4 linked regions of the Astyanax mexicanus genome follow. The protein of the gene in region 2 purifies or fractionates together with the protein of the main gene of each other region. This does not show direct contact. Links are inferred from orthologs where the notes say so. Each region holds a gene or a part of one and is shown on either strand. Other genes may lie near its edges.

What was found.
Region 1: the proteins of med21 (region 2) and polr2m purify together in Homo sapiens (affinity purification with mass spectrometry; 3 studies listed by BioGRID and IntAct, with this or other methods). This does not show direct contact. The link is inferred for Astyanax mexicanus from reciprocal best matches to the Homo sapiens genes MED21 and POLR2M.
Region 3: the proteins of med21 (region 2) and polr2d purify together in Homo sapiens (affinity purification with mass spectrometry; 4 studies listed by BioGRID and IntAct, with this or other methods). This does not show direct contact. The link is inferred for Astyanax mexicanus from reciprocal best matches to the Homo sapiens genes MED21 and POLR2D.
Region 4: the proteins of med21 (region 2) and cdk8 purify together in Homo sapiens (affinity purification with mass spectrometry; 14 studies listed by BioGRID and IntAct, counting the BioPlex papers as one, with this or other methods). This does not show direct contact. The link is inferred for Astyanax mexicanus from reciprocal best matches to the Homo sapiens genes MED21 and CDK8.

What each region holds. Positions count from the first base shown.
Region 1 is NC_064430.1:31,677,667-31,686,271, reverse strand, and holds the start of polr2m (protein GRINL1A), read left to right. Parts: upstream 1-5,330; 5' UTR 5,331-5,538; coding exon 5,539-5,627; intron 5,628-7,888; coding exon 7,889-8,359; intron 8,360-8,605. Other genes in the region: myzap (myocardial zonula adherens protein), read left to right, coding at 3,434-3,803.
Region 2 is NC_064409.1:37,874,871-37,882,969, forward strand, and holds the start of med21 (mediator of RNA polymerase II transcription subunit 21), read right to left. Parts: upstream 3,510-8,099; 5' UTR 3,447-3,509; coding exon 3,405-3,446; intron 1,219-3,404; coding exon 1,104-1,218; intron 970-1,103; coding exon 869-969; intron 303-868; coding exon 123-302; 3' UTR 1-122. Other genes in the region: tm7sf3 (transmembrane 7 superfamily member 3), read left to right, coding at 3,763-3,871. UniProt on the Homo sapiens protein: Component of the Mediator complex, a coactivator involved in the regulated transcription of nearly all RNA polymerase II-dependent genes.
Region 3 is NC_064415.1:11,612,420-11,620,796, reverse strand, and holds polr2d (DNA-directed RNA polymerase II subunit RPB4), read right to left. Parts: upstream 3,788-8,377; 5' UTR 3,549-3,787; coding exon 3,473-3,548; intron 2,607-3,472; coding exon 2,426-2,606; intron 1,737-2,425; coding exon 1,641-1,736; intron 1,557-1,640; coding exon 1,478-1,556; 3' UTR 1,280-1,477; downstream 1-1,279. Other genes in the region: high affinity immunoglobulin gamma Fc receptor I-like, read right to left, coding at 5,953-6,081, 6,181-6,215, 7,119-7,766, 7,992-8,027. UniProt on the Homo sapiens protein: Core component of RNA polymerase II (Pol II), a DNA-dependent RNA polymerase which synthesizes mRNA precursors and many functional non-coding RNAs using the four ribonucleoside triphosphates as substrates.
Region 4 is NC_064408.1:96,297,300-96,305,034, forward strand, and holds the start of cdk8 (cyclin-dependent kinase 8), read left to right. Parts: upstream 1-4,114; 5' UTR 4,115-4,443; coding exon 4,444-4,571; intron 4,572-7,735. Other genes in the region: E3 ubiquitin-protein ligase RNF6, read right to left, coding at 29-148, 612-759.

The sequences.
Region 1 (8,605 bases), on a different chromosome or scaffold from region 2:
GCTAGTGAATTGGGACACGAATGGAAAAAAAATCGCTTTTATAAGGAGATAGGGAGCCCAAGAAAGAAAAAACGAGAACGGGCGGAAATTAAAGTCACACCGAGCGCGACAGAGAGACAAGGGATGTGAACTAAAGCTTGCCAGAGAAGAATTTTTTTATTTTTTATTATTATCGTTCATTATAGTTCAAACAACCTCATGACCCAGATGTTTCATGCTTGTGGGCTGCCTATTGCCAACCCCTGGACTAGAGGATGACCAACACTGTAACCTGTGCAGCAACAGATTCAGATCTTCTGTCTCTGACTTTACTTTATCTACAGGGTGTTTCAGCTGTAGGTAGGAGTGTGTAATAGAGTGGAGAACAGTGAGAGATTAAACACAGTGTTTAAGAACTCCAGCAGCACTGCTGTATCTGATTCAGCAGTAAAGAATAGGGTAAAAAGAGGATAAAAATAAAAGTAAAATGCAGAGAAACAGATACAGGACTACAGTCTCTAATTATAGATCTACGAAGTGTCCTATATGATCAGTGGAGCCAAAAAATGCATAATAAATGTAGAAATAAGGAGGTGGTCAAAATGTTTTTGTGCTTGATGAAGTTTGTTGTCATATAATCATGTTATCTTGGTTTCTAGGCCATTTAAGGAGCTGCAACAAACAAACTGGGAATGAATTTGGAGGAAATGTCCCATTGAACCTAATTAAAAAGCAAAATATCAATATTTTAATATATATATTTGGTTATTGTTGATAATACAAAATCTTTATATATTTTAACATATTAGACCATTAAATAATATTTTTAGGCCATGAGATCATAGGTTGAGATCACAAATTACATTTCTAGTGGCCTCAAGATAATATATTGAAGGCACAGAAAAATATTATTAATTGTATTATTTTATGGCCTCGGTATATCATCTTAGCCATAATGTACTACTATTTTGCTTTATTATATTATTAAAAAAATATATCTTATAGCCATAATATATTATCATGTAGCTTCAATTTCTTATGTTATGGTCTCTATACATTAACTTGTGACCTCAATATATTAAGTTGTGGCCTTAGTGTATATTATGTAATGGTCTCAATGTATTATTTTGTGGCCTTAATATAACAAGTTTTGATCTTAATATTTTAACATGTGGCCTCAATATAATATATTTTGCCCTTAATATATAATTTTCTAGCCTCAATATATTATCTAGTAGCTTTAATGTATTGTTTTGTATGTTTGATATATTATCTAGTGGCCCCAATATTTTATCATATCTCTTCAACATATTTTATTGTGACCTCAATATATTGTCTTGTGGCCTCCAAATATTATTCTGTCCTCAATATATTATCTTGTTCCTTAAACTAAACTATCATGTGGTCTTAATAGGACCAACAAACAGTTCTAATACATACAAATAATTAAATAAGTAATTAAATGAATAAAAACCTAAGCATATAAAAAAGATAAAAGAAACAACCACTCACAAAAGATTAATCAGACGTTTTAGATCAGTTATTTAGTCAATATATTATATTGAGGCCACATGTTAAAATATTAAGATCAAAACGTGTTATATACACGGTCCAAATTCTATGTACAGTTGTATTCAAAATTGTTCCATCCTCACTGCAATAAAGTGTTTTTTACTTTGGTCACAATCAAATAAAGACTTGAATAATAGACAAATATACTTCTAATATACCAATTAATAATTCTAATAATTCTAATATACGAATAAATGTACTTTTTGTGATTTCCTCATTGACAAAATTATTTAACCTCTTAAAGATGACCACTTTTTTGAGAACAGAAGTTTCAATCAGGCATTGAAAGGTAGGTGATTAGAATCAGCACTTTTCGAGCAGCACTTAAACAGATTTAAAATGACTTTAAAAGAAGATACTCAGCTCCATCTAGACAGTTAATGGTGTCATTGCATCAGGAAGTCCAGGGAATGGTCAAATAAATCTAGAGAATTGCTCATCATAAGCAAGGATATGGATATAAAAAGGGAGCAAAGACATTAAACACACGAAGAGACACAATTATAAGCATATTTTGCAAGTTTAACTGCTCTCTGGTACCTGAAACGAAATGTGGAGAAAAACCCCTGGCTGACAGCTGAGAAACTGCGACAGGACATCAGAGGAAGGTACTCAGGTTTTGGCCTAGACCGTAAGGCACACACTACGAGAGGAAGGCCCCCGTGCCAGAACTGCTTGTTTGTAGAAGAAGGGCTGGGGGATTCTGGAGTGACCATTGCAATCGCCCAACTAAAATCCTTTAGAAAACCTCTGCCCAAGAATGTCAAAGGAACTGGAGGCCTTTCCTCGTGAGGAATGGGCTAGGATACCTGTAGATCACTGCAAAAAACTTGTGTCAAACTATGTTTCACATCTGAAGGACGTTATTACCGCCAAAAGAGAGTTATACTAAGTACTAATGTTGAATCTGACTAAAGGAGCTGAATAATTTTGACAATAAGTCACAAAAAGGACATTTGTTGGAATATTAGAAAAAAATACTGTTGTAATTTAAGTTGCATTTGTCTATTATATAAGTATATTTGATATATTTGATCTGATTGTGAACAAGATAAAAAATAAATGTTAAACTTGCTAAAACACTACTGCAGTGGGGGTTGAATATTTTTTAACACAACTGTAGCTTTAACATTAAACAGAGTTTAGTATTTTTAATATTTAATTTTTTGTGTATATATATATATATATATATATATATATATAAAAGTTAAAAAGTTGTCAAAAGTTTGGACAGATGATCAGTAATAATTATTCCTTATTTCTATTATTTACAAATTGTAGCTTAATGCAGACATGCAGTTGTGCAGTCGACAAACAAACACCTGATTTAAAAACACAACACAGGTGCTTTGGAATAGCTTTAACATAAAACAGAGCGTCCAACAGTTTCTCATTCTTTCAACCCCTTCAGCTAGTTAATACTAAATTGTTAACCTTCAAAACTTGTCTTGGAGAGCATCATAAACACATGCATAGCAGTCAACAATCTCTCATCAAGAGGTACACTATCCAAAAGTAGCCTTTTATAGGGCAGTGTAAGAAGCACTTTAATGCAATTTAATCTTGTGGCAAGACTTAGTATATAATCAGATTACAGCTACAGCCATTTACATATCAGATATAATTATTATAATACGGGGTAAAATATTTTCTATCAGTGTATTTTCTAATAAATACATTAAATATTTTAAATTGTGTTCCATTGCTTACACAGTCATTTTTACATTAGAATAGAATTCTCTGGAGCAGAAAGACAAACATGAATCTATTTAACCATACATTTGTGGGTGGAGCATGAATATGTTAATACATTAAATTATATAATCACACAGCTTTACAAAAAGCTTCACAAGCACTTCTAATTTCTTTCTGCTTTTCCCAGCCGGCCTGACGCTCAGGCCTCTGAGACTCCGGTCCAGTCCAGGCCCGCCCCGTCAGCGCCGAGACCCCCGAGCAGACTGGACTACAGTTTACTGCGATACACACCGCTACAGTACAGCAGCATGCTCACGGGGCCATACACTCGGGACACTGCTACTAGTCCTACAGAAAACACCACACATTCAGATTCAGCCCGGCCCAGTGATGAGGGAGTGACCTTATTATCATCATCATCATCCTCCTCCTCATCCTCCCCAGAGTCAGAACTGTCCTCCTCCTCCAGCAAGAGCCGGGCCACATCCAACCCATCCAAGATCTACACGCCGTTTATGAGGCTAATGGAGATCACAGCTAAACTGAATGTAGAATAAGCTAAAGTGAAGTGAAGGGTGCAGTGCCCTGAATCAGACAGTAAATATGTATTTGTATATATTTTTCCTTTTCATTTTGTAACATAAATTAAATTATATCCTGATCTGTGAATAACTTTTATAAATTTTATTTTAGTAGCATGTGTGGATGCACTTTTTCTTTTTTGTTATTTTGTTTACAAATATGTATATTTGGCTTTATGGTATGGAATTTGGAAAGTCTGTATTACTCTGTATTTTACAGTTTTATACGTTTATTTTCAGTTTCCTAATGTTCTGGTTACAGCTTTGAATTACTTTCTTACACAAATAAATAATAAATAATATCTTGTAGTATAATGTAGTAGTATTCATATTATAACAGGCTCCCTGTAAGTCAGAGGTGTGGGGTGTAATACAGCGCTGTGATGGTCAGTAATTGGCTGGATTATTAGAAGTGTGCCAATGGCATCAGATCATTTTCACTGCCAGAAAGAAGCAAGAGACGAGGACCAAATCCCTCCACATTGCCACTGTGTGTGTTTATAAGGGTACAACTTTAATAAAGAGATTATCTGCACAAAGTGTGAGAGCTTCTGACCTTCTGTTGCTGGAAACAAGAGCAGGAATCTTCATCAATAGATCACATAAAGAACCACTGCAGCGCCGTCTGGAGGACAGAAGCTGGTAACGGAACATCAGAAACCTAACTTTATAGTAGGAAGGGATACCCAATAAACTAAATATATGTTATGTTCTACATATTGATACACAGTACAAGTCTTTAATCATAGTTTGGACACACACTCATTAATATTTATTTTTTATTTGTATTATTTTCTAGATTGTAGATTAATATTAAAAGAATGCATATGCAATTATGAAGCAAACAAAAACAAAGTGTTAAACAAGCCAATTATGTTTTATGCTTTAGATTCTTCAATATTTGTAAGAAATTTGAAGAAGCTAAGTTTTGATTGCTTCACTATAAAATATACGTGTAGAAAATAAAGAAAACACATTAAATGTAAAAGGGAGTGTCTAAACTTTTGCCTTTTTGTTTGGTTTGAGTTTGAGTTATTGATGTATATTTATAGATGTAAATAATTTAACCAAAACCTTTTTCTCGAACAATTTCCATATATAAAAATGCTTCACTATTACGAAAGCAAGTGTGTAAGTTGTAGGACACAGCAGACATAGCAGTTTATATTTAATTTTATTTAACTTTAATAATTCTTTAGGAAAAGATTTTAAGTGTGTTTTATTTATTATCAGAGAAAGTAGGAGTGAGCGTGTAGTTTGGCGAGAGACTTTTATTTTAATATACACTTTTAAGAAAACAGTAGGGTTTTTTGTTTTAGTTTTATTACTACTAGCAAAACTAATATTACATAAATTATTGGTACATTATACCACTATCATTACTTTTATTTAATATATATATACGTGTGTGTGTGTGTATGTTTTATTTATTCTCTCGGAGAGAGCAGGAGAGAGAGTGTAGTTTAGTTTGGGACTTTTATTTTGAATTAGCAGTGGCACGCTTCACTGTCAGGTAGTGGCGGTGGTGCTGTGAGCGGGTTAGCTGTGAGGCTCTGAGCTGATTCACTGTAGAGTTTAATATTAGAGTTTATTATAGAGTTTTTCTGTATTTATTAGATTAATTCGGGTGAATTCAGCGCTCTGCAATGATTCTTACCGCCGCTGGAGGTTTCAGGCTGAGTCCGCCGCAGTGAGGCGAGGTGAGGTGGAGATGTCCGGCCTGGCGGGAGAGCTGAGCGGCCGCAGCAGAGAGGAGCTGCAGGAGATCCTCAGCAGACAGGAGAAGATCCTCCTCAACAAGTCAGAACTCTGTATTATATTTATACACAGAACCAGTCAACACTTTACACACCTTATATTCAGTGCTTTTATTTTTATTATTTTCCTTCATTGTAAATGAATAATGAAGTAATCAAGACTAGGAAGGAACACATAACATGTAGTAACTTAAAAGTTTTTAAACAAACCAAAATACTCTGTGAAGCTCTTATCTGGGGAGCTGTTAACTTGTGGTTTATGAGGCTGGTAAATCTGATTACCTTATCCTGTACAACAGAGGGAACTCTTGATCTTCCTTTCCTGGGGTGGTCCTGATGAGAGCCAGTTAAATCATAACGTTTTTGATGGTCTTTTCGACTGCACTTGACGATACTTTCAAAGTTCTTGAAAAGAAAGTATTTTTTTCTTTACTTAGTTGAGTAGTTCTTGCCATAATATGGATTAGAACTTTACGTAAATAAGGCTATTCACCGTATAATAACTCTACTTCTACATAACTTTACAACTGATTAATATTGAAGACTTGAAAACAATTAAGGGAGTTATGTAGTAAACAGTAAATAAGTGTTTTTCCTCAACATTAATCCCCTGATCTAAATCTGATGAACTGAGATGATGATTTGAGGTGATTTAATTGGGATGAGCTGGAGCTTCACAGCGTGAAGAAAAAGCAGCAGCTATTGTTCAGCACCTCCAGAAACTCCTTCAAGACTCATTCAAAACTATTCCTGAAATTAAAATACCAAGAGTGAGCAGATCTGTCCTTTAAGTTAAATGTGGCACTTAGAAGAATCTAAAGTATAAATCAGATTCTGTTTTGTTCACCACTTTTTATTTACAGAATAATTCAGCATGTGTTCCTGTATATCTTCATTGTATGTCTTCCATTCTAAAATTACAATGTAAAAATCATAAAAGAAAATAAGAAGAGGTGTGTCCAAACTTTTGACTGGTGCTGTATATCCCCTCTGACTGCTGGAGTTTGTTATTTAGTGAAGCTCTTATCAAGCTCAAGCTGTAGTATCTTTTACAGCTGATAATAAGTAATAATCCGGCAGGTGATTTTAATCGTGATGATGTCAAGTCACAAAATAAAATATAAGCAAAGCATATAAATTGGGATGTGAGCTCTATGGGAGCTCTATGGGGCCTGTCAATTGATTCAATAATTATGGATAACTAACGATTCGTTTAATATTCTGTTAATCTTTTAATCATTTGAAATATTTTGGTTTATTGATTATTAATTGGATAAAAGGAAACATATATTAATATAAATGTAACATATTTTCCAGATATTGTTCCGATATTAAAAAATTTAGAGATCTAATGTTGTAATTTTAAAAGTAACACACAGCCTACCATTATTAAAAATGTTAGTTTACATGAAGAATTAACCTGAGATTAACTTTAATCTCATTAATATTGTTATTTAATAATACAATAGTGTATGTAATGTGAATATACACTCAGCTGTGACACTTTAACGCAATGTCAGGTCAAAAAGACCTTTAAAAAAGGGTTTAAATTTCTTATGAAAATTTACTATATAACTGCTGCTGCATTGAAGGTGGAAAGGAAAACTTGCTAAACGTATGTAAGAAAGGGTCACAAATTACACCATTTCCCACTGTGGGAAATAGCTGACTCACCTGGCTGCTCTTCACAAACACATTTTTCACAAGAACTTTCAACATGATTACATAATGAACATGTAGTTCATTATTATTTTTAATTTTTTCAGCTCTTAGCTCCATTCAGCTCCAGTTATATAGCACTCACTCGCGGGCTCCATCTAGAGTTTAACATTCTTTTACTGATATAAAAGTGGGGGCAGTATGAGGTCAGACTCTTTATAAACAGCTCTGGTAAAGCAGGGAATGCGTTTTGGACCCGTGGTTCTCTCTTTCTCTGTAATTCCATTGGTAGTATGTGGCCGCTGCTTCTGAATCCCAGTCACCGACTGGGTCAGATATCTGACGTGCCAAATATTTGGCAGGCATCGCCTCAGCGAGCATCTTTCAGCAGTTTATACTACACAACTGTGTGAGCACCGAGAGATCCCTGATTTGCCTCTGAGCAGAGTTTTTGCGATCAACAAAAAACTGTCTGCGACTGAAAAACTGGGCTAAAATCATGTAGTGTAAACCTGACCTAAGGTTAACGTATTCGCTAAACATAAGTGTGATATAAATTAAATTTTAATAAAAAACGCGTTCATATTTTGAGATTTTACACTGTTTTTATCAAATGAACTAATAGTGTTTGTGTGGTTTCTACAGGAGGTTCGTTCAGACCCTTCCGGATAAGGGGAAGAAGATTACAGACTTTGTGGAGAAGGTGCGGCAGGCGCTGGAAGCTCTGGAAGAGGAGGAGGAGAAGCAGGCCAGTCTATCCGCTATTGGAACAGAATTTCAGGTCCGGTATCAGCAGGCTTTAGCTCAGCGCAGGAATGCTGAGCGAGAAACTGTTAAAGAGGAGGAAAACTTGCTGGAAACCGGCAGAACGAATCAGCCAAACACAGAGGGCGTCATGGAGGCGTCCACACCTGCTGGCGGTGCAGAAGATCTGGTGGAGGCGCTTGGACGGGTCAATCTGTCTGAGGAAAAGAATCGTCCTCTGAGAGACACTGTTATTAACTCTCCACCTAGAAACGTCTTCAGTGCCACACAGTCTCAGAAGAAACCACATTATATAGAAGTGTTGGACAGAGCGGATGCAGATAAGCAAAAACACAGATTTAAACCTAATCAGTGAGTAAAGACCCTCTCTCTCTCTCACTTTTACAGTTTAGCTTTTAGCTAGATACTGTTTCATCAGTGATCACAATCTCCAAAACAGTAACTTTAAAAGTTTAATGCATTTTTTTTTTACTATAATAATAAAAAAAAATGTTGCACCATTAAAGGCAATTGGTGTTTTCAAATACAGTACCAATCAAACGTTTGGACACAGTTTAAATTCAGTGACTTATTTTATTTTAACATTTTCTGCATTGT
Region 2 (8,099 bases):
TCCCAGCTGAAATGTCACTGAATACTTTGCTGCAATTTTTGTCCTCAAAGATCACAAATGAATGCTGTATAATAAGTCCTTGAAGTCTTTGTCAGTCCATACTGGAACTGAAACGGTACAAATCATGATTCAGGTGTCATGGACTGGCTGGACGTGCCGCTGCGAGTGCGTAGCTGTGATTGGGCAATATCAGCCAGAGCGCTCTGGATCTTCTCCAGTAGCAGATCTCCTCTGTACACCACTTCTTCCAGTCGTGCTGCTGCCTCATGGTTCTCCTCTTCCAACTGTCTCAGGCTAGCAGCCTGGTCAAAAGGTAAGGAGGAAATAATACAAGAGAGTTTAGAAAAGGCATACATTTTTGTTCATATAATAGTTAAAAGAAAATAGCAAAACAATGGATTTGCCACTGAAATGGATTTCAGTTCAAGGTAGCTGCAAGGTGGTTGCTCTGGTGTAGCTAATGGGTTGATATGCTGTTGCTAAATGGCTGCTATTATATACCAGCTGGTTTACTCTAGTGTTGCTTTTGTGGTTGCTAAGGTATCCCAAGTGGCTGCCATTGCTTTGCTTTGACAAAGTGACTGTTACGATATTACAGGTGTTTGCATGACATTTCTTAGTGGTTGCTAAGGTGCTGCTAAGTAGTTGCTAGGCAGTTGTTATGATATCCCAGGTGCTTGTTAAAGTGTATCAGTTTATTGAGTGTCCTTTTACTACTCTAATTAACCCATTCTGCAAACCTGTTAACCAATTTTACAAATTACTTATCATAACTTTAAGCAAATTAACAAATACATTGTAAAATGTTTAACCAATAATCAGGTTTCCTAACAACTCTCAAAATCTCATGAGCATTCATAATACAAACCTGTAAAGCAGCGGTAGATTCTTCACTAGGCAGCGAATCGATCAACACATCAACATCTTTCGCTGTCCTTGCAATCAGGGCTGCAAAAAGCTGTGCATATTCTGTGGCAAAAAAGACACAGCGATTAGCCTGAAGCAGCATGGAACAAACAATCACATTGGTTTGAAAACATTAATAACTGCCTGTTAAGCTTTAATAAATGTGTCACTGTGAGATGATGAGAATTTGTTTGGACCTTCTGTGGGGTTTGATGGCTGGTCCTTGTTGATGGCTGTCTGAATGTTGCTGAAGGAAGCAGGTGGCGCACATTGCTGCAGAACTCCAATGGCATTGCAGAACTGATCAGCCAACTACATCACGCAAAATCAAGACAAACATAAAACTGAAATTTTACTGCATGTAGAACTCAAATAAAACCCCCCCAAAAAAATCACAATTTTTGTAAATCACTCTGACTTTTGGGTGTGGAGGAATCTGATCTGATAACATATAAACTCTTACATTAATATTGTTTTCTACCAGCTGCAAATCAAATGATATAGTTTATATTGAAACACTAACATGTATACTATTTTTAGCATATGTTATTGTAGTGTTTCTGATGAAGTGAGTAGAGTCACACATGGAACTGATGAGCTCTGTCTGGCTTTAGTTACTACTGAGCCTGGTGTGGTTCCACAGTAATGAAGTTGGTTTAATGAGAAGTCTGAAGAAAGGAGAAAGGTGGTCTGGGACACCAGACTTGACTGTTGAGACTTTTAATGGTGTTGCATGCTTTATTAGGCAGAACATTTATGAAGGTGATAACTAGAGCCTCTGAAGTAGTGGGTGATTAGAGTAAGTAATCTATTGTAATGTAATTCCGACTAGTAAGAACTGTAGTTTTGGACATCAATATTATTATTATTAATCTCAAATTATATTGCACATATACTACAAATATCCTAAATGCACTTCCACCAGTCAAAAGTACAACCCTCCTTGACACAATGTATACCCTCAGGCAACAAACCATTTTGTTGTTTTTTACACAATAGCATACTTTACCTTATTTACCTAATAGTTAGTTTTTTTTTGGAATGTTACAATGCATGTCTACTTCAAATACAATAATGTGTATGTGTGGGCCATAAATAAAAATATTTATGTGCAAGATATTCTTTTATTCTTCTTGTAAAGTTTCTAAAACAGTGTTTTTTCCGCTGCCTTCGGGCAACATTGTGTAATAAAGCAGTGGCTCTCATTTCCTGCTAAAATTGAGATAGAGAGCCAAAGAGGTGCTGATTAAACATTGTTAATACTCAATATTCATTTTACAAATATGTGTACATAAAGTCTTTCCTAGTCAGATAGTGAAAATATCTGAAGATAACATTAGTAATGTAGAAATCAATCAATGTTAAGCTACATATAACTAGTCAAAATGACACTGTGTCATTCTGGTAATATGACTAGTCAAAATATCTGTATAGATCAGTAGGTCTGATATCATTACTGGTAAACATGTCATTACTGATATTTTCACATTTTTTTAATGTACATGTTTTAAGATTAAAATCCTAATGTAATACAAATAATAGAACAACAATTTCAAAACTTATTTTTAACATTTTGTTGTAGCAATTACTAATCCTACGGAAGGTAAAACATTTAATCAAAGCAGTTGAATTGTTAAATTAACGGTTGAAACAAACCCGTAGAATTAAAAATACACTTTTAAAATGAGCTAGTTATATCTCCAGCACTCCTACATTCTCTAAACGAGGTCAGATGAATGAACTGTGCTGTAATTCTGTCAGGATGTTTAGTAGCTAACCTATGTGTCACTAAGGGACTTCATGAGATAAAATGACTGAGAAAGTGCTTTACTTGACACATCATTTAATGGGTCTGTGAGACGAGTCACCATGGGCTCTTTTGGGTTAACTAGTAAAACCTAACCCATCTAAACGAGCTAACCTATCTATCTATCTACATTGAGAAGGTCCTGAATTGTACCTTTTTTCTGGTAACTTAAGTACTGAGCTCGAGCTGTATCACTACTGTCATTTTATGCTAAACGACCTAACAGAAATTAGCTTAACGTCAGTTAGTGTAGCCTTGTAAGCTAGCGTAGTAGTTAATACAGTAGTAATACAGAAAACATTTAAAGATATTAGGTCTTGTTTCGGAGAGACTAGCTAAGTTATTAACTTAGTTAGATACCGCGAATATCTGTCATGCCAACAAGTCTGGATTTATCTAGCGGCGACCAAACGTGTCTAACATTAATGAACTAACTAACATGTATTATTGCATAGCCTATCTTTAACATGTCTAGTTGGCCGGCTAGTTACTCCTCTAGCCCATCATAGCTGTAGCGTTAGCTGTATCTGGCTAACGCTCGCCGCAGTTTCATTTCAGTCATGAGTAAAAGAACAGCAGCACCTCCCATTCCCCACAAACACACCAACTGAGAACTAGACCTGCTTTTTACCTCACACAGTGCGACATTCGTAAAGAATTAACAGTTTAAAACACATAATTTTGATCTTACTGAGTTGACTGCGTCCTGCAGCTGTGTTAGCCTGTCCGCCATCTTTTCTGGTTATCGCCCCCCGCCGGCCGGAGGGCTAACGTCGCGGGCGCGCTCACGTGACCGTGGGGGCGAGATGGTGAGAGCGTGAGCGTGAGTGTGAGAGAGTGTGAGTATGTACAGGAGAGAGAGAGAGAGCGCGGGCTGACAGTGTGAGAGAAGGAGAGAGGGAGCGAGCGGCGGCTGGTGGTGGTGGTGTGTAGATCATGCGCCAGGCCTGCTGCTGCTGCCGGAGGAGGCTCGGTGGAGGTCTGCTGCTGCTGCTGGCCGTGTCCGTTGTGTGTGTCGGGGATCCGTTCCTCGGCCCGAGGGGCAGAAGATGAGCTCTGTGATCGGGAGAAGAGCTGCTGGAGGAGGTGGAGGTGGTTTCTGCGGTTTACTGTTTGTCGTCCTTTCCTGTCTTCGGGTTCTGCAGGCGCAGGATGAGAGTAAGTTTCTCTTTCGGGCTCCTGAGCTCTGTTTACACACTTGACAATCCGCATAGGAACACAAACAGCAGCTGCGATTTCTGCTGAAGTTTCGGCTGAGACGCTTTAAACTGTTAATCTGAGTAAACTAAGATAACATAACCTGGCTGATCTGTGCAGAAACCGAATAGAACTAGCTAGAAGTGAACTAGATTATTTTAGCTGTCTGATTGTGTATACATGTAGGTTAATTCTGAAACGGACCTCTTGTGTATTATTCGAGATTTGTTGAATATATTTTGTATTTTATTTTTTTAGGACCACCTTAAATAGATCCACGAGTAACTACAGGCTGTAGCTCAGTTCACAGCGCCTGAGAGACAGAATGGGGGGACTGCTGCTCCATTTAAGGTGGACTGACACAGTCGAACATGGAGACACTTGGGGTTAGCTAACTGTTAGATAGCCAACTCTTGCCTTTTTCATGTATACTGTTAGCTAGCTATCTTGTAAAAGGCTTACTTTAAGACTGTCTCTCCCTTTCTCTCGTCTTGTATATTAATTTACTTTATTCTGACAGTAATTTGGCGGGATTTGTCTGTGAGCATTAACCCTCACGTGAGCGTGATCTAATGGTCAATAGTAATAGTTCAAAGCAGTGGTTAAACCATTTCAGTGTCCTTTCTATTAGGGTTGCGCGATAATATCAGAATTAAATAACTAAATTGGTATGGGCCAAAATGTCTTTTTTTTTATCACACTCATCTGACCATTTGGGTGATATTTCAAACCGTTTGACGTATTTATTGTATGTAAAAAAGGAACCAAGAAACCCTGGCCACACTAATATAATTGGCTGACATTGGCCATGCTACTTTAAAATCCATTAATGTTTAAAAAAGGGTTTAGAGCAGTGAGTCTAGGTGAGGACCAGTTAAGTAAATGTGAAAGCAGAAAATGTGAAAACAAATTAAATTGTATTGTTAGCATACAGCTGGTTGAAAAAAAAGCAAATAAATGTTACATTTGTTTCCAAAGTTATACTAGAGTGTATAGTCTTTCTCTCTGTTATAAATGTGTATATCGGTATCGGCAGAAACATAATGTCAGATATCGGCCTAGAATTCCGACGTGTGCATCCCTACTTTTTATTTTGATATTATTTGAGCCAAATTTGTCTTCTTTAGATGTGAGGTTTCTGCCATAAATTTTCTGTCCTGATAGTCTAACAAGAATAAGTTCTTGCTTCTTTACTTTATATTATATTATTGTTAAAAATATGAAACCACTGTAGATCATAAACTGTTCAGAAGAACTAAGTTATCTATATACATTTATGTGTTTTTTTTCTGGGTAGTTGAACAGTATTTATGTACTCCAAGGACAAAGGTATTGAAACTTACTACTGATTAACTGATTCTTCAAAAATCAACACACATTCTCAGCTCCCCATTTTATGCCAAATGTACTGAATTACTACTCTAGCCCACACCTGGCATTAGGCATGCCAGTAGGTTTATGTTTTTTCTGCTCCAGAGAGTCCTGTTCTATTGACAGTAATTCTCTGCAGGGACTAGAAAAGCTGTGTGTGTATTTGCACATTTGTGTCAGCAATGGAGACAACATAAAGTGGTTTACTGCAGTCACTGGAAGGCCTATAACTAGAGCTGGGCGATATGGGAAAAAATCTTATCACGATATAGTTTTCCATATCAGTCGATATCGATATGTATCACGATATAAATCAAATCACTTTGTGTCACACTTAAAGGTTTGTTTTTATTAGTGAGAGAATAAGGGAGTGATGGAAGTTTTATCACAATATTTTTTTCTGTATCTCCATAATTATTAGGGCTGGCCCGAATAGCATTTTTTGAGCTCCGGATATTTGGCAGTAATTGGTAGCGAATATTCCAATATTAGTTTAAAAAAAAAAACAAATTAATCATGAACGCGAGCCAGAACCCGAGCTTGAACGTCAGCCTGACTCAGGCGCTGCATGAACTCGGGCTTTTTTCCAATTTTTTCCAATTTTCCATGACTGAAAAAAAACTTGGGCTATAAGCTCAATATTAAATATTTCGTTTGTTTAGAAATTATTTTATATTCTTAAACCATGTTAAATTATATTAGATTAGTAGGGCTGGCCCGAATAGCGTTTTTTGAGCTCAGAATATTGGGCACTGATTGGCAGCCAATATTGGAATATTTGTTTTTAAAAAGACGGATTAAAAACTGATTAAAGTAAAACAAAAATTGCAACTCGGCCCCTTTAATTCACCACAAAGTTTTCCAAGACCCAGCCGGAAAAAAAAAGATTTCCCACCTTTTCCTCAGCTGGGTCGGGCTCAAAAAATGATTTGTGATAGGCTGTTTTTTGGTTTGTTTGTTTAAGCACTTAGGCTTTTGTACTGCTGCAGTGCAATATTTAGATTTTATATTCTGAAATTCGTTAGGTTTTATTTCTTTTAGCATTTTGAACTTTTTTTCCAATTTCAAATTTATTTTTTTCTGTTCGTTATGTTCTATCGGTCCTTGCGTTTTTTGTAGTTGAAGTTGAATTTAATATTGAAGTTCAATATTTCTAATTTATATTTTGAAATTCGTTAGATTATATTTATTATTGTATTTTGAGCTCACTTTAGTTGGTTATTTTCCAAATTCATATCTATTTTTCTGTTATTATTAAATGTTATTAGCTTATTAGCTTAGCTTGTCATTTAGCATACAGAACTTCTCACGGATTTTTAATGAATGTTGATTTATTAATTTAAAAGCTGTACCTTATTAAAAGTATTTTAAGCCAGACAGACACTGTGTGATTTTTTAATGAGTTTATCTGCACTTTTAAATGGTTTGTCCTGTAGGAAACGCACACGATTTGTATGCTGACACTGTTGTCTGACTGAGGAGCTGCTTTCCGTCAAATGCAGCCTGTAGGCAGGAAAAAATCCAGCCAGAACCGACCATATCATGAGCCAGTTTTAAAGCCAGTAATTTAGTAGAGCATTAAACTACAAATCTGAGATGTACCTGCTGTACTTCTTAATCTCTGCCCCCAAAACGGTCCATTAACTTGCTTGACAGACGCGTCAAATCCCCCGCGAGCACGCGCGGCGCACAGCGCACCGATTAATTCATGCGTTGAGCTTTAAACGCGCAGCTGAGCTGTAATTGGGGAAATATCACAAAAATCACAGTGTGATTTGTTACATTAAAAAAAAAGACCATTTTCTTCCGCCTAATCTGAGAGGAAAGCGGTGTTCTCGACCGGCCCGAGTTCATGCAGCGCCTGAGTCAGGCTGGCGTTCAAGCTCGGGTTCGGGCTCGCGTTCAGGCAGATAATCTAAATGATAAATGATTTTGTGTTTTTGCACTTGGGCCATAAGCTCAATATTAAAAAGTTCGTTTGTTTAGAAATTATTTTATATCCTTAAACCATGTTAAATTATATTAGATTAGAGGAAAGTCATTTAGACATCATTCTTAAGGTGTTTTTGTCCTGTTACCGCTCCGCAAAAAAACCTCTTCCTTTAATCCGCGCCCCACATACACATTTTTGCAGCACCTGCCCCGAGGTCCTAATATAAATTGAATTAATTACATTTAGTGCTTAAAATTTACTTAAAATTTATTTAAAACGTGCTGAACAGTGCGGCCGTTTATTCCCAAAGTGTGTCGGGCCATACTCCACTATTCTTTAGGGTTTTTTGTTGCATGCATGAGAATAACTATTACAATTTTCTTAACTATTTATTAATTTGCTCCAGCGTCTTCTGGATTGATTACACGTTGTGTTTTCGTTGTTTGCCGCGCCACTTAGACGGAAATGGAAATGAATGTTTATCGAATTCTATTGCACAGGCTTATCATCGTCATCGAGGGAAAAATTATCGCGAAACAAATCGATATCGTTATATCGCCCAGCACTACCTATAACTATCGCAACATATAGTGTATGTGTAGTTATGATATGATAGGTTTAATCTGTGCAGTTTGAAAATTTAAAACTGCATATTTAACTGTTTTAATCTGTAGCATTTGATGAGTTAAATCTATCTAGTTTGGACTGTTTTCATGTGTAAAGTTTAATGTTTGATGTTATATATATTTTTTTGGATGGTTTTAATCAGTGTAGCATACTAATGTGCCAAATCACTACTATTGACATATAATAAAAGAGTGATCTGGTTTACAGAGGTGCTAAAACCGTTGTATTGTTTTATTCCTTGTAGTTTCAGTAACTCAA
Region 3 (8,377 bases), on a different chromosome or scaffold from region 2:
ATATCAACTTAAGCTTTTTACTCAAAAGTGTAAAAGTACTGGGTTTAAAACTATATGTATATATCCAGTACCAGTCAAAAGCAATCAGCAGAGGATGATATATATATATATATATATATATATATATAGGAGGTGATTCAGTTGAGTTTTTTGTCTGAACTGAACAAACCATGCCCCAAAAATTAAGCTCCTTTATATCAAGGTAATGCTCGCATGTTTTATATAAAAAACTGATGATCCAAACTGCGCTTATTTGTTTTTTTATTTGCCAAGTGAAACCCAGAGCTTTATAACTGTTCACATACTTTTTAACAATGTCTTACTAGATTTAGGGAGTTAAGTTTGCATTTAATTTCTAAACGCCTGAAACATACAGATGGTAAAACTGAAAACCTGTTTTCGCAGAGAAGTCCTTCATAACTATTTAAGATATAAGATGTATAAGATGTACATTTAATACAGATAAATAATGTGAATATTTCAGTTATTCTTGTATGAGCAGTAATTAAGTTGAAACAATCTACTCCTTCATGAAAAAAAATATGAAATTAATATAAAAAATGTTAACTCTTTTTTTCTTAGAAGAAAATCATTATAACATTATGAAACCACACATTGTGTTTTTCCAATGAATTGATAACTTTTTATCACAATGGGGTGTAAAATACAGATGGTTAAACTATTACCAATTTTGTGGAAGGAGACTTATCTTGACAAACTATTTCTAACAAGAATAATCACCCATAAATTAAGCTGGTCTAGAATAGTAGATATTTTGTTATGATACATCATAGAAGGCCTTACCACCCACAGTGTACCCACAGCGCAGAGGGTAGTAATGATCAGGAAAAAAGGCATCTGGTTTTAACTGTCCTTGTAAACAGACAGAACACACATCCACATTTAATGAAGGAGACACCAGAAGCATATTCCACAGGTCAGTGCAGCATTCTTTAGCTTCCATATGACATGCCAAATTCATGGGACGGAAAACTGCATTCTGCCCTTGAGATGTGGCATATATTAACTTCTGTGAGGTATAGACTACTGTATTAGTGAAGACCTTGTCTGGGCTATGTCTAAACCTTCATGCTATTCAACGCTTATGTCTAAACCTTCATGCTATTCAACGCTTATTAATATGCTAATATTAGTCGGCATATTTGACATTAATATTGGACATGTTTTGACATAATATTAATCATGTTTTTAAAATTTTGTGATACAACCAAGAACTGATTCTATTTACTTTTCATTCGAAAAGGAATTCACCCAGACATTTAATTTTATGAAAACATTTATTTCTCAACTATGAAACACTGCGAACACAAAAAATGTATAATCCAGCAGAAGGAAAAGGGTGAAAAACATCTCAGCAAAGGAGAGTGTGGAGAATGCTCAGTCTGTAATAAAACAATACAATAATGTCCAGATGTACTGCATGGGTTATGGCCTTGAATATACAAAAAGATATGATTCAATACTGAAAGCTCCGTTTGGTCTGAATATCATCCAGAATCTGCTGCAACTCCTCGTCCTCAAATCGACCTTCCAAGCTAGAAGAGAGGGAGAGAGAATGTGTGAAAAGCCAGAAAGCTTCATTAAAACCTTAAACTGTGATGTTCTGAACTAGGACTCACCTTGGAATGAGTGCTTTTGCTTCTTCTGCTGCCTCTGGACACAGATTGGCTAAACTTGCCAATTCAAACTTATGTAGCTTCTTTTGTAGGAGTAAGCTGTAAAACAAGCACATAACAGGAATGTGAGTTAGATTTAAAGAAATAGGTGAAAAGCGCTGTGAGTGATGGAAACACCAGCAATTAGTAATTGTTTAACATGGCAACAGCTGAACTTGCAATATTTATTTTGTCCACATTTTTTATTTGAGATTAAATGTTAGGTTAATTTTCAATGTCTGCATAATTTCGATTTTTTTAAAAGCCAATTAAACCTTCACCCATCGCACAAAAAAAATGTTAAAGTCATGTATAACTAAAAGAATTACATTGTTTTCCTCCTTACCCCAAACAATTTTATTGACTGGTGACTAAACGTATATATATATATTTTTTTGTAGGTTTCATCAACGCTGTCACTTCTTTCAAGAATTATTGATGTCTTGCTTATCAAAAAAAAAAAAAAAAAGGATTGGTACAAATTATTTTTTTTTCACTTTCAGCATTTTGTCCAAATGACAAAATTACACTCTTTTCAATAAAATTTGCAGTGCTCTTTATGTACTGGAAACATTTACAATACACTATACCAACGTAACCTATTAGAATATGATTAAAAATATACACTTCATGCCCACCTTATAAGAAAGCTTATTTTGAATTATTGATAATTTACTGTTTAGTGACATTTTTTAGCAGCAGCTTAAACTTGCTTCAAACAGTGCCAGAACTAGCATACTGGTACCCACCTGCGCACGCTGGCGATCGTCTCGCGGTTCTTGAAGCGACTAAAGCGAGCCGTGTAGTTCAGGGTCTTCATGAAGACTTCAGAAAGCTCCTGCTCGTCCTCCGCGCTCTCGTTCTGCTGCTTTCGGTGCTCAAGAAGCATGTGAACCTCAGAGTTCAGGAGCGTCTCTGAATTTTCAAATTCTGCACAAAGGTGAAAAACAGGTTAAAAAGGTGAAAAACAGAAAAAACTCTGTCACCACCACTGCTTTCTGTCAGACCCACATAGCCATTACCAGGAGACAAAGTCATATAGGGTGGACAGATTGTTTCTCATGTCTCAGCGTCTTGAAGGAGTTCCTGGAGGTGCTGAACAATATGTACTGCCTTATTTATGTGTCCCTTAATTGTTTTCGTGTCTTAAATATTAATATACCATGTAAAACGTTAAATTAATTAAACAGAAATGAAGAAAAATATTAAATAACAAGCTGTGTATAAACTTATGGTAATGTATAGAAGGAAAAAGACCTATGATATTTTTAAGACCCCTTAAAAATTATGAGGTTTTTTTATTTTGCAAGTTTGAATACCTCTGGAATATAATGAATATAATGTAGAGGAGGATGGATGATTACAAGCCATCAGACTAAGCTAAACAGCTTGAATTTTTGCACCAGTAAAGGCGTAAAGTTATCCAAAAGCAGTGTGTAAGACTGGTGCAGGAGAACATGCCAAGATGCATGAAAGCTGTGATTAAAAACAGGGTTATTTCACCATATATTTAATATTTTAAACCTTATGAATATGAACTTGTTTTTTTTTCATTAATTAGGTTCTGAAAGCTCTACATCTTTTCTGTATTTCAGACATTTCTCATTTTCTGACAATATTTTTATTTGGAATTTGGGAGAAATGTTGTCCATAGTTTATAGAATAAAACAATGCTTATTTTACTCAAACATATAACGTTACCTATAAAAAGCAAAATCAGTATTAGAAACTGAAGTGGTCTCATATTTTTTTCCAGAACTGTATATAAATATATAAGTGTGTGTTTTATTTCAGACCTTTAGGGAAGAGCAGCTGAGACGCGTCCTCCTCCACATCCCCCACACTCGCTGCTCCCGCCGCTCCGCTCGCCATTACCGCTCGAGCACAGCGTCCAGAGGCGGAGAGGAGATAAGCACCCTGTGCCCGGGCTACACGCGGTGTGTAATAATGTGAGAGTGCACTAATTCCGCTTTAAAACACTTTACACTACAGCAACAAAGCAACACAGCTCGAGTACGGCGCCCGAACTCACCAGCACACACTCACACACCATCACAACCAACCTTTCCGCTTCCGATTCGGCTCCAGAGAAAACTTCAAATTAAAAGTCTTCCTCCTGCTTTCATAACGACAAAAAACGGAGACACATTTTTTGCCAAAGGTAACCAGGTTTTTAAACCATTTTAGACCCTGCGTCCATTACTATGGAAGCCCATTCCCGCCACCTAAAAAATAAAAATAATCCAGCATTTTTTTATTATTATTATTAAGTAAACTGCTATCTCAATATTTTAAGATACTATCTCAATATTTTGACTTAGTATCTCAAAATATTGACTTAGTATCTCAAAACATTGAGATAGTATCTCAAAATATTGAGATAGTATCTCAAAATATTGACTTAGTATCTCAAAATCTTGACTTAGTATCTCAAAATATTGAGATAGTATCTCAAAACATTGACTTAGTATCTCAGAATATTGAGATAGCAGTTTACTTAATAATAATAAAAAAAATGCTGGATTATTTTTATTTTTTAGGTGGTGGGAATGGGCTTCCATAATTACAATAGACATAATGAGACCTGAGAATATACCATGAACCAGCCAATAAAAAGTTTACAAGCCAAAAAAAAAAAAAAACACAGGTTAGCTCGGCGTTCTGTCGAGAAGTGCTACCCATGAAAATGTGCCTCTCAACATCAGTGCGCATGCGCGGAACCTTTTTTTTATTTATTATTTTTTTAAGGTAACTCTGTTCTTCTTGGGTGCATTAAACAACCGGAAACCCCTTGCCATTATTTATCAACTGTTTTATATTCAATAAATAGTTGATTTTTATGAACATTATTGTCTACTATGACCTAAATATCATCTATCAGCATTTTGTACTATTGAGATTCCCTCATTAAACATGATAGGAAGTAGACTGAAATATAGAAGGAGAAGCTAGGGGGAGTCCTGAGCATATATAACCGAGACCAGAAAACTTTCTTAACCTTTACTTTTCAAGCGAACACATCTTAACAACTGGAACAGTATGTTAGAACCATAAATTAAAAGTAGATTAAAATGCCACTGTTGTTTATAGTATTTTGTTGCAGATAATTTGCCTGCAATGACTGCTTGACGTCCGTGATTTATAAATGTCAGCAGGTGCTGAGAATCTTCTTTAATAAATATATTACAAAAAAAGAACAAAATAAGTAAGTATATGTATATTTTCAACTTTATTACCCCAATACCCCGTTAATATTTTAATTAACATAAACATAGTACAAAGTCAAAAGTCATCTAAATGTAGCCTTTAAACTGATGTAGTTTTAAATGGAACAATATATATATATATATATATATATATATATATATATATATATATATATATATATATATATGATTATTTTATTTATTTATTTATTTTTTCAAAACTAAAAAGCATAAATAATGGACACTTCAATTTTACCACTTATCAGAAAATGCCAGTTGTAAAATGTATCAAACAAATGCATAGGCTTTAAACAATTGAAAAAAGTATAACATTTAATAATTTATACCAAACGCCAAATGCTTAGAAAGGAAAAGAATGGAAGTGACAAACAATTTTTTTCTTCAGATTTTATTAAAAATATGTATGAAAATTATTTTATGAAATAAAAAGCATTCTATAGCTTTATTAAAAGGCATACTGTAATAAAAATACTTTCTGATTTTTTTTTTTATTTGAAGCTGTCACACTAAGTGCAATAACACAGTTCTCTGCTAAATGTTTTGTAAAGTCAGAGCTGCTAAAAGCTTCTTTAACTGTCCTGCAAAATAAAGCACTTCTCAGCGATACTTAACGTTATAAAGCACATGATTATAATTTTACTGTAAAATCTCCACATCTGACACTCAAAGAGTGTCTATCACTGCATGTGTTTTGTCCACCTCACCAGGCTTGGCTGTGAAATACACAATGAAGAAAACGGATCAATTAGTTATTAATCAAATGTTAGAAGAAAGAAATCTTGGTCTCAGTGCAACTAAAAGTGTAATTGTTATAAATGATTCTCATCTCGAGCTCTGTAGCATTTGACCCCCAGTATGATGGTCGCCAACAGATATGGAGACGCTGCCATTGAAAAACTGAGCAGATGGAGCACTGAGAATGGAGCTTCTGAAGCAGATGCACCTGATGATACTTAAACACACATAAAACCCCCTTTTCTTCACTGGAATGTGGTACAGAAATTATTGAAAGATTAATGTATTATGCATTTTGTATTGTAATGATTTGTTTACAGCAGCAAACCTCTGATGGAGATCCAGCTCTGTGGACACTTTCCTTTCTCTGGGATTTTACAGTGGTAGAGACCTTCATCTGACTTTGAGACAGTAGGGATGATCATCTCTTCTGTAGTCGAGGTCTGGAGTAATAAATCATCTTTATAGAAAAAAATTGTGAGATATGAGGACTTTGGGTTACGATATAAACAGCGAAGAGTCAGAGGATCTCCCTCAGTTACCGGATGAACAGGACTCTCCAAAATTACATCTCTATCTGCAGAAAAAAGAGAATATAGAACATACAATGATCAAAATACTTGATAAAACTACTTGACTTGATAATTGTAACTTCTAACAGTGACCAATATAAGATATACTTTCACAATTTTTAAACAATATTTACTCTTACATTTGATATTGTAATGAGGCACGGTGAGTTTATATGGTCCACAACTTGACCTTTTATTGGAGTTCTTTTTACAGACACGTTCACGAGGTACAGGCTACGCTAACACATACACAGGCTTCACAGTTCCTTTTTTTCTAGCTTCTTCTTGCTACTGATCTGACGTCACCTCAACAGTCCAATAAAAACTTAGTGTAGGTATGCCACTAAATTAGCTGACTTTTTTATTAAACAACTGTAACAATGCGGGACAGATATATTTACATAACCCTCATAATTTGATCTTAATAAAAATGTCTATCTGAATTTTTGTTCCACTGTTACTAAACTCCTGTTATTTAGTAGAGTGAGATTAGTGTAGACTCACTGTGCACTGTGATGGTGACAGGATTGCTGCTCCCTCCAGATTCAGACTCACACCAGTACACTCCAGTGTCGGTAATGGAGAGGGAGCTAAAGCTGCATGTAAATCCTGTAACTGATCCCCAGCCTGATGAACAGTCCTTCACATTCTCAACCAGTGTGTATCGTCTCACTCTCTATCCAGTAGAGTTACGCTGTTTCTCACAGATCAGTGAGAGAGAGTCAGAACTGAAATGTTGAGATCTGCTGGGACTGACGATCAGAGATACTGAAGGAGAAGAAACTGAAATGCAGAAAAATCTCAGTGTTTCCCATCATGCTGCTGAAGACGATCAAAACTAAGACCTGTATAACTGATCTGATAATTACATTAAACAATAGCATCTATACACATCTATATTTACTTACCGGTGATCAATAGATGCTGTATATTGCTGCTTTTTGTGTGAAAGGCTGGTTCTCCTCTCTCTGCACTGCACCAGAAAAGTCCTGTTTGACGAAGAGCAGCAGGGCTGATTGAGTAGGTTCCTCCAGTTCCTCTGCTGATCTCTGAGGTGTACCGCTGATAGAATTCATATTTGTACCAGTTGAAGTTCCAGCCTGTAGAAGAATTTCTGACCTCACAACTTAGAGTTACTGAGTCTCCTTCAGTCAGACAGTTCTGTGGAGACACACTCAGCACTATCTTGGCTGATTGGAAATATAAGGATATGTTATATATAATAAAAGCCCTGTTTAATGGAATCACCTGATGTTCCTCAAAAACACCACAAAACTCACCAGATACAGTAAGAGTAACAGCATCACTGATCTCTGATCTCTCAGAGTCTCTCCTCCTCTCTCCTCTGCAGGTGTATTCACCACTGTCAGACTCTGTTATATAGCTGATTTTATACTCCGGAGATGTGTTGGATGTGTGAACAGTGAGATTATTCTTATACCAGCTGAATGTCCACTCAGTGTCTCCTCCTCCCTGCACATCACACCTGACAGTGACCCTCTCTGCTCTGAACACATTATTATCAGGCTTTATGGACACCACAGCTTTTGGTCTCTCTGTAACAAAATGAATTAGTCACCAATGTTGCTTTAATTAGTAGTTTTTAAAGATGACCCAATTCAGATTCATTTTTTTGTGTATGTTTTTGTGAAGTAGAAGAAATAAGACAAAAATTCATCTTGTGTTTTAATATATTGCTGCATTTTAGGCCATGTTTCATAAATAATTATTATTGCATGTAAGCGTAAGAATACATGGATTCAAATGTTATGAAAATTCACCTTGGCTTTGTCCAGAGTGTATGAGTACAATCAACCCTAAAAAAGAGACAGAAATAAAGGAAATATGTGAATATGTGGTCCTTGGTCCTTTGACCCAGACTGTGGCACCGTTGGTGCTAGAGCTTAGATCGGGCCCAAAAAATCCGACCCGACCCAGCCCGAGCCCGTGCACGTTCTGCCCGAGCCCGAACCCCACCCGAACCATGAACTGTCATTATGAGCCCGAGCCCGTCCCGATCCGCGCCATAAACTGGCTGTTTTCGGGCTCATTGAATGAGCGAAATATAATCGGAATTATGTTAATTAACACTGTAACATAGCATAAAACTATTATTTAATTAAAATAATTTTTAAGAACAGCTACACACAGTCCTTCAAGTCAAACA
Region 4 (7,735 bases), on a different chromosome or scaffold from region 2:
CAGCCCTCCCTGAATCCTCTGAACTCACCACTGCTGCCCTCCTGTCCTGTTTCACTGTTCTGTAGGTGTGCTTCAGGGCGGGGCTGGGAAGACACGCGCTCCTTAGCTCCATCCAGACGCTGCCTCAGCTCCTCAGCTGTAACCTCACCTAGAGTAAAGGAGATAAAAAGCACAATCTACATTTTTGCCTGTGCATCAATTAAAATTATGTCTCAGGCAGATGAGGCCCTATAAAAAGGTTCTCAGAGGCTACTTTAAAATAGTGTACTTCTTGGTGTGAGATCGTTGATTGCTAAATATGCCTCTACTATACACAAAAATGTCTTTTCGTGTATAGTAGAGGCATATTTAGCAAGTTCACAGTCTTTAAAAGTTACTGAACTAAGAGAAACAGTCATTTGTCAGCCAGCCACTATCGCCTTTGTTTGCAGTTGTGTCGTGAATAATAAGCCTGGATGGCTGTTTAGCGACAAATACAGGTTACATTTGACATCATTTCTAAATAAAGCAAGGTTTTAACACTGCTGATATAATGAGTTACATTAAATGAGTGCTCAAGCAAGACATTTTAAATACTGTGCCAATGTGTGTGTGTGTGTGAATGAGGTTACCAGGCGTGCCCAGCAGGTTGCTGTCTCTCATCAGCCGATACTCCTCCTCGCTCAGCTCGTTGATGAAGTGATAGTATGCCTCCTCCCGCCGAAGACGCTCAGCCTGACGGCGACGCTCATCTCGCCCGCCGGGAGGGTCCATCACCATGAAAACCGCTGTTTTTCAACAGTCCCACAAACAGAAGGGTTCAACATTAGAGCTGCAAGCCTATGTGCACTTACCTGCTTATTGCTGCTGATACAATGACCTCAAGACCATAACAAAAATGAACATCATTAAAGGTGCGATTACAAATGCCAGTATGTGAACTGCAAAATGACCATTATAAAAAAAAAATTTATGATGATAAGATCATAAAGAGCTCTATATTAATCTCTAAATAATGAAGAGAAGGTAATCATAGAATGATGACCCAAAGCACACTCGCTCAGAGGCTTTTCAACCCTAATAGCAAAACAAACTGTTTATGTATGCTTAAAGTACTTTCATAAGATCAATTAGACTGATTAAAATAAAAAAATACAAATGAAAGACAAAAGCTGACTGTCCTGCAGGACCACTGAGCAGAGCAGGTCTAAAAAAAATAGGCTAGAAGCATAGACATGAGACAGCAAAAATCACATTAAACGCACGCACTGCTGTCAGAAAACATGAAGTGACACCTTGATTAATTAACAAGACAACAGAGCTCCTTAATATCTCACACAGCAACCACTTGAAGGATGGCACCACTAGGTTAAATGAGTTAAATAAATAAAATAAATGCATACCAACATATACCAATCTCTCTGGATTTGCTCTAAACAACACATCTTTAAAGCTTGTTTGTAACAGGCTTTAAATATGTGGCCACCCTAACGACAGTAACACAATAACGCGAAAATTAACAATATATACGTAAATAAACCGCTGCCCTTTCTACACCAGCACCTCTGCTGTCTCTGACTATGGAGCTATATAACCTAACACAGTAGGCCAAGGCGAAGAATGTAAAGCAAGCAGAGCGACACGCTGACGTAGCCAGCGCAGCAGCCAATCAACAAGTCGATAGCGATGACTGGCACTTCGAATGCCCAATCAGAGCTGCCCGAAGGCGGTACGTGACTAAGAAAAGTCGGGCACCGTGTGAGCGTTTCTAACCGAGGCACAATGAAGAAGCCCCGACTTCTCTTTAAAACGTTATTAAAATCACACTTCACATGCAGCAATAACACGTGGCCACGTTATAGTACGACATGCGCAGACGAGGCCGAACAGCGAGCTGTCATTCTGTCTGCGCAGCCGGTTCTGCTGGTGTCGACAGATAGCCGCCGTGCTAATAACCAACAGCTAACCAAAAAGCGGGTTTGACAACCGATTAGACAGCAGACAGGTCCCGCCACGAACACACAGCTAAACACACCAACAACAACCCGGCCGCTTTCAGCGAAAGAGAGCCGCGGAGACACACATAAACCCGCCAGTCTAGTACCTGAAACAGCAGCGATAATATGGACGAGTCCTCTCTTTTTCCTCTTCGCTCTGATTACAATGTAGAGCTAAGATGGGACCAACGGAGCCACACACACTCGCGTCCGGCCGGCTACCTGACGCGCTGCACACACGTTCCTGTTCACAAGCACCCCCTCTTCTTCACCCCACACCCACTCACCCCAAACATTTTTTTTTTCATTTAATTATTTCAATTATTTATTTAAGAAAGACATTACTAGTTTTAATATTTAGTGGGCTCTTCAACTATAAAGACATTGGTCTTTTATTGTACATATATTGTATTATATAGTCTTCCTTACACTTATTTATAAGATTACTGGATCACAATGTTTCCCTTACATTTATTACTGTATCATACTGCTTCTATATTACTAGAATTTATGTACAATTACAGTAAAAGTAGTTACATTACAACACTGTACATCTGCAATATTCAACTGGCAATTTGAGTTTTTGTTGTACATATATTGGATCATACCATTTTCCTTACATTTTTTACTGAGATTACTAGATCACAGTTATTTCTGGAATTACTGTAAATTTGCAATATCCAACTGGGAAAAAATATTTTGTTGCACTGTGTATATATGCATATATGTATTATTATTATGATTTATTTTTAGTTCTTTAAAATCACAGTAAAATATTTTCCATTCGTATAGTGGAAATATACTAGAAATATAACTAGAAATGCCAGTAATTTTCTCTACATTTTTAAAGTATTTTAAAGCGTAGACAGGCACATCGCATATGTATTTGCTGCTAAAGCCTGAAATTGGTGCAAACATACTTTATAGCAAATATTTTTTATAATATTCCAATAAAATGTATATTGTCTAAAATTACTCATCTTTCTTTGTTGTTTTTTCTTTCACCTTTTCTATAATGTTGTCCTTCTAAATCTTAGCTAACACATAGCTGTGTGAGATTGGGACCAGGGTGTCTCTTGGTGTCAGTGCCAAACAAAGGCCATTGTTTTTTCTGAGTGAAGATCGTTGAAGAGGACGTGGAGTGTAGCTTTATACAGAGACTACACTCGAATGCTTAAGTAGCGAACGCAAGTTTAAGACGCAAAATAGTCGTTTTTTTAATTTCAAATACTCGTTTGGTAAAGAGTTAACATCCACGTGGTGCCTCCACAAAGCCCCAGTCTTTTCATTAGTAATGAAAAGTTCGATTCAGTTTGCCGAGTCGGTTCATTTAAACTCATCCGTTCGAAAGAGTCGAACGCACGATTCGGGTTACCTCGTTCTCGTAGCCTCTCTTGCAGAGTCATTGCATTTGAATGCAGAAGTCCCTAAGTGACATATACTGAACATCCTAAGAGCATCATTACAGAACAGTCTGCGAATCTCTGTTCGTTTATTTCACTTGATTTTTTCTTTATACTTTAATTAATAATTTGATGTTCTATATAACTATATCTGAAACAAATTCTAGAATAAAAATGTTAAAATATTATGAAGTTTATGAAATTGTTGTTGTGTTACATCAGGAGTTTAGCATTAAAATATTTACAGTCATGTACCCACAATCAGAAACAAACATGAATTAGCTGCTCACTGAAATAATCAGATTTTAGTTTGAATTTGGTATCAGTATTCAAAAATGAGTCTGTGCTCTTATGGGATACGTTGATATAAATATATAATTAGGGTTGCCCAAAGTGTGACTCCCAGCCACAACATGACTTATTAGTATTTTATATAATAACCTATTACATTTGTAATTTTATATATAGTGTAATTTAATTATTTTATAATTAAACACATTTTAACTGGAATCATTTGCTAATATGTTTAGACCAGCAGCATCAAACCCACCACAAACACACGCTCATCCTCCCTCTTCCTTTAAGACAATAGGTATGGTCATCTCTGGCGTGGACCCTGCAAAATAGCTTCCATTCCAACGGGGGTAAAATGAATCGGTTCAACAGACGAGTCAAAAAGAGCCGTTCAACGGAACCGGTTCACACGAGTCGGATTTCGGGGGTTTTCAGGCGAGCGACGGTTTTGCGACACTGCCGTAAGCGGAGCCTGCTCTCCCGAGTGAGATACCGGTTGCGAGAGAAAATCTAAAGGAACTATTTGGGGCAGAGCCACATATGGTGGTGCTTCACCTCAGCACACGTTAAAAAAACACGCTACCCCTCCTCACTCACACTCAGCCCGGGGTACATGTGGCGGCTGAGCTGAAGCGACGCGAGGGAAGGCAACTGATTGTGTGAGCGGCGCTGGAAGTAAGTTGCCTCCCTGGCGGCGCTTTAAAACAATCAGAAAAACACAAACACACACTCACAAACACACCCCGACCTGCCCACAGCCGCCCGGGACGATGGACTATGACTTCAAAGTTAAGCTGACCGGAGAGAGAGAGCGAGTGGAGGACCTGTTCGAGTACGAGGGATGCAAAGTGGGGCGAGGGACGTACGGTCATGTGTACAAAGCCAAGAGGAAAGACGGGTGAGTTTCACCACTCGGTGACAAAACGAGCTGAGTGAGGCCTGTGAGCCCTGCTGTCTGACTGTCTGAAAATATCAGAGAATGCCCCTGACATCTCTGCTGTGCTGCTACACCGACCGGTTCCGTGTCTTTTAGATTTACCAGCAGAAACAATAAACACAGAGTGCAGTAAACCTGCGAGTGAAGGCAGGCTGGTGCCACTGGTGTAGCTGGGTAACTAACTTAGCTGTGTTGTTGTCATTTATGGAGAGCGGCCCCTTTATTTTCTGTTTGTCTGAAAAAAAACGCCACACAATCAAAATTTGGTGTTGTGTGTTACCTAGGCATACTCTGCATTCATGGCATATATATATATATATATATATATATATATATATATATATATATATATATATATATATATATATATATCTTCTGTAATAAAAAAAAAAGCTTTTCTGTGTGTTCAGACTGGCAGTGAAAGCAGTCTGGTGTACGTGGTGTAGCTAGGTAACTTAGCTGTGTTGTCATTTATGAAGAGCAGCCCTTTTATTTTCTCTATGGTTGAAAAAAACTATAGCTATAAAACGTCAAAACAATCTAAATTTGGTGTTGTGTGTTACCTAGGCATAGTCTGCCTTCATGACATAACTATATATCTCTTCTGTAATAAAAACAAGCTTCTCTATGTGTTAAGACTAGCAGTGAAAGCAGTCTGGGTTCAGTGGAGTAGCATTAACTTGGCTGTGTTGTTGTTGTAATTTATGAAGAGTAACCCCTTTATTTTTTCTTCATCTGTCACTGGGGGTTCTGTAGTGTATGTTCAATCTTTTGCTAGATTTTCTGTTATGTGGTCACATTTCTGTATAGCTGCTTTGTGAAAATATCAGTTGTAAAAAGCACTATATAAATAAATGTGATTTAATTTGATAGCTATAAAACACCCTTTTATCGCAGTTTGTTGTCTGCCAACATGGCACATAGATATCTCAGCAAAATGAGCCTCTTGTGTGTTCAGACTAGCAGTGAAAGTAGTCTGGTGACAGTGGTGTAACTTGACTGTGTTGTTGTCATTTATGGAGAACAGCTTCTTCTTTTCTTTTTGAATAAAAAACGCTATAAAACGCCTCTTTGGAATCCAAATTTGGTGTTGCATCGTCTGCCATAATGGTACATAGATATCTCGTCTCAACTGTGTTGACAAGCAGTAAAATCAGTCGGATGTCAGTAGTGTCACATCGCTAGCTATTTATCCCTCCTGTAAAACGAGCTTTTCTGTATGTGCAGACTGGTGTGAGTGGTGTAAGTTAACCGATGGTGTTGATACTCATCCAGTGCACTTCCATTTACATCTATTAGGGCTACATGTTTTAATGACATTCAATCTTTTTTCAGTATATGTATATATATTAAAATAATAAAAACATACAGTAATTTCCACCACATTTCTTCTGAACTGGGACTGTGTTCTCTCTGGAGTGATTGTACATCTCACTAATGCTCCTTTTGCTAAATGCAATCAGATTCTCACAGAAATGTTCCAATATCAATGCTTTTTACTTTCCATAATTGGATTTTTATTGGAGGTGGCAGGTGTTTTTGCTAAGTATGTCTCTATAAGAGATTGCATAGTGCAAAGTGATGAAGACTAAGTGAATTAGATCAGTGGAGAGTAGCATAAAGAATATGCAGTGTCACATAAGGAAAGTTATATCACACATTTCCTTTCAAAAGGAAAATTTGCACTGTTCTTATTTTCCATTTTCAGAAGAAGGTGTCTGTGAGTTAATGTGTCAGAACTGAGTTGCTGCACTTTCCTCTGAGTGTGCTGGCTACTCGGTAATGCTACATCAGCAGCAGTTTGAAAAAGAGGCGGCTGACTTCACGTGTCAGAGGAGGCATGAGCTATTTTTACCCTCCTTGCGTTGTGGCATTACCTGTGATGGGGAATATAAAGCTGCCTTGCAGCTGAATGGGTGGGCCTAGCTAAATTTGGAGAAAATGTAGATTAAATAAGAATCTTAAAAATTAAAAGTTACTGATTTATCTCAAAAGGGAGAAAAGTACCTTTGGTTATTCGTTGGAAGGGATTTGTAATGCTTTGTGGATGTTTAGAAGAACCCATGGGTTATATGGTTGGGACTATGTTTAATATCTTAAAGAATTTATAATATTTAGCACCACTAGTCATTTTCTAACTATGATTGCTATAGCTCCACCAAGCTTATTAAAGTCTAAGACCGATGAAGAAGTTATCCAAGAGCAGAAATCTCTGGATGCACCTTTATTTTTTTTTACCCCAACTCTGTAGATTTTTGCCATGTTCTTCAGTCTAGGCTGCAGTAGTGCTGGGCAGTATACCAGTTTATATGGTATTTCCGTAGGGGAAATTAAAACCAGTATGCCTTTTTTACATACCGCCATACCGCTAGAGGCGCTGCGGAGGGCCATAAAGAACAGCTCCGCCGAAGAAGCACCCTAGCAGAGCTCACTAATGCTAGCCACTTGGCAACCAGCATGACAAGCCAACACACTGGAATTTCAGCTCTGTGGAGCCAAACGCTCTGTCCTGCCTGGAGAGTTCATGCTGCTATTCCTCAATGTGTGAGTGTTTTTATCCGAGTAAAATAAATAAAAAATAAACAATTATTTTTAAAACATTAATGTTGTAGCTTGAAGGTATGTTTTTTTTTTAACTGCTGGAAATTTTGGCTAATTTTAAAACTTTAATGCCTCTAATGGCTTCAAGAATAACATATTTTAACTAAATTAATATAAAACCTTACTTGGGACCTTGAGCTTTTGAGAAATATTTATTTTAAATACCTAAACATAGAGTATTTTAGACCCATTTATAGTGTTTATGGAACTATTGAAAATATTTAGTTTTGTAAAGGAAGCCATGTTAAACTTGTTGGTGTATTTTTTTTTAAGGTCTGTTATTTTACTACATTCTTCAGCTGTTTGTTTCTGCTAATGCACTATACGATTCCTTCATGTATTGTGTAATTTTGTGGGAAAAAGTAAACCCAAAAGTAATCAAAGCCTTTATTTAAACCTTTAGTGTTTTATATTATATGTAACAGTACAGTAAGTCACAAACCTATATAAAAGCCTATTTTTAATTTGTAATAATAATAAAAATACTGTGATATACCATGAAACTGTCAGAATCAGAAAAATAC